Bombyx mori: one gene and its partner. Each later gene encodes a partner of the first gene's protein in a complex. Links are inferred from orthologs where the notes say so. Each region holds a gene or a part of one and is shown in the gene's direction. Other genes may lie near its edges.

Region 1 (4,508 bases):
GAACTTTATTTATCTAATTTAAGCTTAAAATTAAAATTTAATTTGAATTTAAGCAATTAATGCTAAATAAGCAAAAAGCTGACTAGTAAGCGATTGTAAGCCTTAAAACAGTTAATAATACCCACTATGTATTGTCGCTGTTTGGTTTTGTTGTGAAACCCTGTTTATAGTATGGGTTGGAGCTTCATTCAGAACAAACATAGCTCTCCTGGCCGTCACCGGAGCTCCTGCTGTGACAACCCTTGTGACTTGAGCCCCCGAGTTGGATACTGCCACAGCAACAGCACCCACTTTATCTTGGACTTGCGGTGTCTTGTGAGACATAACAGTGAGTGTTGTCTCTGGAGACACCTGAAATGTTTTATTTATTGTTGATTATTTGTTTTTATTTATAAAATGATTTTAAGTCTTTACTGAAATGAAACCTATTTTGAAACAAAATAGCACATATAAGTACACAATTTCATAATAGCTTTTTTTTGTTGCTAAATATTAAAATAACTAGAAAATTTACTTCAAGTGAAAGCTGATTGTTGTTAATTTCATTCAATCTTGCTTATGGTTAAAACTTTGAGAGGATGCACTTTGAAATTAAAGTGCACAATAAATGTTTACTCTAAAGTGCTTCAGTTATTTAATTTATTTTATTTAGACCTTACCGTACTCCCAAGCGAATAACTGAGGCTGCTCGGAGTTTCGACATCGCCCTTGGTAAGGTCCGCGGAACTCGTAAAGCCCCAAGAATAACCGAAACCCGAAACATTGTTCGGTGTTGGCATACACATTTTCACCACAATATAAACTTCACTACATAGAAATGTAAACGCACTAACACAGATTCACTATTTGATAGTAAACAGTCCTCATGACAGTTTTATCATTGCGAACATGTATGTACGACCTCACAACCACACACGCAAAACGCACTCATTGACAGCGACGCCGAATATCAAGCGAAAACAACACTAATTTACAACTTGTGATGGTGTTCTGTGTAAATAACGATGAATCTTAACTTTAGACGACATCTAAATTAGTTTAATCAACCCAATATAAAAGGCGGCCCAGAACAACGACGCTTCAACGAACATTGACACGCACATTATTTACAATAAATAGTACGTTATTAGAAGTCATATATGCATTTATAAGCTTCATAATTACATATAAAATAAAAAACACTTTCGTATGTCAAAAAAAATTGGAGAAAATCCAGATTTTTATGAAAACAATTAATTTATCGCACACACAAAAAACCTGACGCCATTTTATTATTTATGGTCATTTGAAAACTGAAGCATAAACTTTTAAATTTCTAGTTTTTTTTTTGTCAAAGACAAACTTTATAAAATTCTTGAAATTAGTTTATTTTTTAAGCCCTATAACTAATCAATCAAAGCTGTAGTTTCACTAAAAGATTTTTGGTATTATGAATAAATGTACTTCTCTGCATACTGTTCTACTTTTGAATTAATTTCTATTTAAATTGGCTGAATTTTTCATCCTAAACGCTTTAGAACTAACAAAAATTACGTGATTTAATTACACCACATTCTTTACATGAAATGTCAATATTCTTGGGGTATTTTTTAATTTATCTTAGTTACTTGATACATAGGTAATAAATTTATGCACTCATAGTCTGACTTCTTTGCAATATTACTAATTAAGACAAGCTCTTCAAGAACTCAAGTACCTGACTTTTCATAGATTTAAGTATAATCTGCCACCATCATGTTCTTTATGGAAATTGAATACATATTTTATGATAGATTTCAAATTTGAAGTAAACTAAACCTACAAATAAATACATCCGTTCGTTATGTATAATAATAATAATATTAAAGTATCAACAGCTAGCAATATAAATGTAGAAACAGCCTGTCATCAACTGTCACTGTCAACTTAAAATTACCAAAGAAAGTATAAAATACCTACCTACCTAGGTAGGTACATAAATATAACAGTTTAAACCTTAAATCTGAGTTTGATACTTTTTCCCTAACATATAGATTCAATATAGAATTGACCTATTTCCCGTTTATGAAATAGACATAGACGTCTTAAAATTCAAAATGAATCCGATGTCAATGGACCGAGATGAACCTTCCTCATTGTTATCATTTTCCTCCAATCACCCTCTAGAACAGTTTGTCCTTTTAGCAAAGGGAGCTAAAGGTTCTGCGTGCGCTGAACTCATCAAACAGGTTCTGGAGGCTCCAGGAGTGCATGTTTTCGGCGAGCTATTAGAGATGCCAAATATTAAAGAGGTTAGAAAACTTACCTTTATATCGATCAATTAATTCTAATACATTTTTAACCATTAAATGTATGAAACTGTCCGAATTCTATGGGTAGAAATCAATTTGGCGCTCTTGTTAAAATTCATTTTATTGTATTTTTCAGCTGGAGAGTGGACCTTATGCAACTCATTTAAAAACTCTTAATTTGTTTGCCTATGGCACATATAAGGACTACATTGAGAACAAATCGGACTATTTAGAATTAACCACAGTCCAGTGCAAGAAATTACAGCATCTGACCATTGCAACACTTGCAACACAAGAGAAATGTATCCCTTACAGTGTGTTACTTGAGGAATTGGATATTAAAAATGTTAGAGATTTAGAAGATCTTATCATTGAAGCTATTTATGCAGGTGAGTTGATTTTCCTACTATAGTGTATATACAAACAGTCCCTAATAAAAAAAGTGTCAGAGTTGTTGATTCATAAAACAGTATTAAAATTCAAGTTTGACTACATGCATTTTATACCTTGTTTTTTTCTTTTTCGAGTTATTCTTGTGGTGTATATGAGAAAACAATTCAGTGCCGAATTTGATGTAGTATCTAATTTATTTAGTTCATGTTTTATATAGATTAAAGCCACATATATAAAATGTGCATTGATAAAGAATACATATACACTAAATAAGCATAACTTCTAAAGTGTCCATATAAAAAAAAATCATTAAATCTTAAATGAATTTAGCTACCAATACAAATAGGAAACTGATGCTACAATGACATGAGCCATGAGCCCTACTATTATGTCTTCAGATAATTTAATGCATCTTAGTGGAATAAAGTTGGTATGAAGTCGTCGTGGCCTAAAGGATAAGACGTCCGGTTAATTCATGTTGAAGCGATGCAAAGGTGTTCGAATCTCGCAGGCGGGACCAATTTTTCTAATGAAATATGTACTCAACAAATGTTCACGATTGATTTCCACGGTAAAAGAATAACATAGTGTAATAAAAATCAAACCCGGCAAAATTATAATTTGCGTAATTACTGGTGGTAGGACCACTTGTGAGTGCGCGCGGATATCTACCACCGCCCTGCCTATTTCTGCCGTGAAGCAGTAATGCGTTTCGGTTTGAAGGGTGGGGTAGCCGTTTTAACTATACTGAAACTTTAGAACTTGTATCTCAAGGTGGGTGGCGTCTACGTTGTAGATGTCTATGGGCTCCAGTAACCACTTAACACCAGGTGGGCTGTGAGCTCGTCCACCCATCTAAGCAATAAAAAAATTACTTAATTAAAAAAAAAGTTTTATCATAAAAAATTCAATTACAATTTGAGGTTTTACAATATAACTATTGGTTTACCTTATAATTACAAGTACTTATGCTTAGTAAGTCAATGTTATGTTCCCTGTTTGAGTTTGTATGCCCTGAAAACAGTTTAACATCCTTTTATTTATCCATATAAGCATATATTTATTTTGATTTTTCTTTTACTATTTTATTTTGTTTTTACCTTCGTAGAAGGGGAGATCAATCTATTCCATGTGGTAGTAAGTAGTTGTAGGGAAACAAATAAATCTGAATGTGAATATAGCAAGCAAACATCAATAAACAATTACTTTCTAAAAATAGCATTTTTGCACTTCTCATTATGACCATGGCAACTAATTAACAATGCATTCCTTTTAATTATTACTTGTATAAAATTAAGTTCAATAAAAACCTCATTAGACAGATAGTGTGTATTCTTTATTTTACATCAATATAAACATAAATACAAAACATACATCACACAAAAGTAGAATGGGCAGTCTTATTGTCAAGAGGATTCTATTCCAGATAACCATGAAGTGGACAAGAATCACATGAGGAAATAAATTAACCGCAGTGTACTTATTAGTTAAAAGATATTTTTTTAAATATGCACAATATAACAATATATAGATATACAGTATAAACTCATTAGGAGTAGAATACCTTGACGATTTGAATATACATACATGATGTTGAACTATTTTACTGTTACAATAGACCACTCGCACGATAATTGGAAATAATTTACATACTATACTTCCATAGACATAATTCACGGCAAGTTGGACCAGGAATGTAAACGTGTGGAAGTGGACGTGGCCCTTGGCAGAGATGCGCGGCTTGAAGATGCAGCTTCCATTGCTGATGTCCTGGCCGACTGGTGCAATGCTTGTGAAGCAGTACTCAATTCTGTAGATCAACACATACAGAGAGCTAATCATCAG
Region 2 (2,608 bases), on another chromosome or scaffold:
TATACCTTTTAAACAACTCCAATATGAAAAATTTAATTGCACTAGCTTATACATAAAACGTTTATAGATTTTGTAACACAAATTACAGTGGATATCTTTTTTTGTTGAAAATGTTTCCATGAAATAAAAAAAGAACATGACCTCTTGATTATATTTAAAATTTCATTTTTAGACAATATTCAGTTGATTACAAACTGGAAACGTACCTAAAGATAGCCAGACTGTACCTTGAAGTGGACGATCCGGTGCAAGCTGAGGCATTCGTCAACAGAGCCTCATTGCTACAGGCCGAAACAACCAACGAGCAACTGCAGATATATTACAAAGTTTGCTATGCAAGAGTTTTAGATTATAGAAGGTATATATTTTATACCGCTGAATAGTTTTGTCAGCAACAATTTAGGTTTAAAAAAAAGGGCCATTACTTCTAAATCTTTAGATGTGACGTGTTTTTATTGTGTTTCAAATGATGCCAATACAGTTCTTAATAGTCAATCTGATAAATTTTAAATACAGAAATTCATAAATATGAAGGTATTGCAAGAAGTTTTTACTGATGGTAGGACCTCTTGTGAGTCCGCGCGAGTAGGTACCACCACCCTGCCTATTTCTGCCGTGAAGTAGTAATGCGTTTCGGTTTGAAGGTCGGGGCAGCCGTTGTAACTATAGTTCAGACCTTAGAACTTATATATCAAGGTGGGTGGCGCATTTATGTTGTAGATGTTAATGGACTACGGTAACCACTTAACACCAGGTGGGCTGTGAGCTCGTCCATTCAAATATGCAATAAAAAAAGTCGTGATCTAAAGGATAAGGCGCGCGGTGTACTTACCAATGCGTTCGACACCCAGATCATTGTGAAGATCCACATTGCTCACCTTAGCTTCGAGGGTTAACCTAAAAAGAGAAATTGTAAAATTTTGTGGGAGTAGTTTAGGTACTGGTCACTGAGCGAACACTACATTCGCAAAATCTATCATCGAAGCGATGCAACTATGTCCAGCTGAAAGGGTGAAACGTTATTAACAACTGAGACTTTAATTTCGTGTCTCAAGGCATTCAAGCGGGAACGCGTCGAACCCGTCGCTTGCGACGAAGGGCTCGACGAGTAAATTAACCCTCAGACACAGCCCACTGAGTTTCTCGCCGGATCTTCTCAGTGGGTCGCGTTTCCGACACCGTGGTAGATTCTGCTAAGCACTGCTCTTGCTAGGGTTCGTGTTAGCAACGTCGTCAGGTTTGAGCCCCGTCAGCTCACCTACTAGTTAAGGTTACGTTGAAATAGCCTCTCAAGGCTATCAGATTAGGTAGGAAAAAAAAAAGTGAGACATTCGCAATTCTCGACATTGCAACATAAACAAAAAGAAATAAAAATTGGTTTGTTTTAGGAAATTCATCGAAGCGGCTCAAAGGTACAATGAATTGTCATATCGTAACATTATCCACGAGGACGAGCGGATGACGTGCCTCAGGAATGCCCTTATATGCACCGTGTTGGCATCTGCTGGTAATTGATTTCAATGTAATGCTAAGATTGTTGGGCTGCAAAAATAGAAAATCGATAAGACATTGACACATTGATTATATTACACAATATTTTTGTAATAAGACCACAGCTTCAGATCAGAACATTTAAGTCACTACAGTCTAAGTCTAAGTCACTACATAAAAAATGGTGCATTTTTTTTCATTTCATTAGACATGCTAGTCTTTTTAATATCCATTTCTACTGTTAAGTAGTCATACCAGTGTCAACAATTTTATGGTGCTTTGTTAGAGTTATCTTTATTTACCGAATGATAATTTAATCAACACCTCAAAAATACTTTACAGTTTTCGAATACATTAATCTTTCATTAATAAGCGCCCACATAACATTAGGACACTCTCACAGCGTAGCAGGAATGTATCAAAAATTCTCCCTAACTGGAACGCGTGATTATATCGCGGTAGATCAAGGTAGAGTGGTGGGATTTTCTATGCGCAGGCTTTTCCTATACTAGTGAGAAATAGGAGCAGCTGTAGGAGTAGTTAATATTCGTCAAAGTAATTTAAATTTATTTTAAATTTAATATTTAAATAATTAAAAAAAACTAACAAAACACGCTTTTATAGAAAATCCAACAAAAAAATAGAAAATACATTTTAAGAAATTTGAATTAAACATAGTGTAAGAAAAAATGTTTTATTAATAATAATCAATAATTTATATATCAATAATTATATATCAATATCAATAATTTTATTGTAAAAAAAAGCGTGTAAAATGTTTTTCTATAAAAGCGTATTTGTTTAGTTTTTTTAAACTATTATTTATTTTTCATTTTTTAGTTGAATTACAATTTAATTCAATTTTTTTTTAAATATCGAATTGTCATCGGTCCTTAATTAATAAGTATACCAAATTTCGAGTTAATCCGACGTTTTCAAGGGGGTCAATATCATGTTCAAAGATTCCGTTACATACTAACATACCTACATACGTCTGAAGCTAATAAAAGCGTATTAAAAAGTAATGTCTTTTATCTAAAATGTTACAGGACAACAGAGATCCAGAATGCTAGCAACATTGTTCAAAGATGAGCGGTGCCAACAGCTGCCGGCGTAT

The links.
Region 2: COP9 signalosome complex subunit 7b (region 1) and COP9 signalosome complex subunit 4 share a complex: the UniProt entries of both Drosophila melanogaster proteins name them as parts of the CSN complex. The link is inferred for Bombyx mori from reciprocal best matches to the Drosophila melanogaster genes CSN7 and CSN4.

Annotation. Positions count from the first base shown.
Region 1 is NC_085114.1:3,666,930-3,671,437, reverse strand, and holds the start of COP9 signalosome complex subunit 7b, read left to right. Parts: upstream 1-1,683; 5' UTR 1,684-2,075; coding exon 2,076-2,270; intron 2,271-2,406; coding exon 2,407-2,659; intron 2,660-4,329; coding exon 4,330-4,508. Other genes in the region: zinc finger protein 615, read right to left, coding at 126-351, 660-785. UniProt on the Drosophila melanogaster protein: Component of the COP9 signalosome complex (CSN), a complex involved in various cellular and developmental processes.
Region 2 is NC_085109.1:10,720,654-10,723,261, forward strand, and holds part of COP9 signalosome complex subunit 4, read left to right. Parts: intron 1-172; coding exon 173-358; intron 359-1,388; coding exon 1,389-1,507; intron 1,508-2,540; coding exon 2,541-2,608. UniProt on the Drosophila melanogaster protein: Component of the COP9 signalosome complex (CSN), a complex involved in various cellular and developmental processes.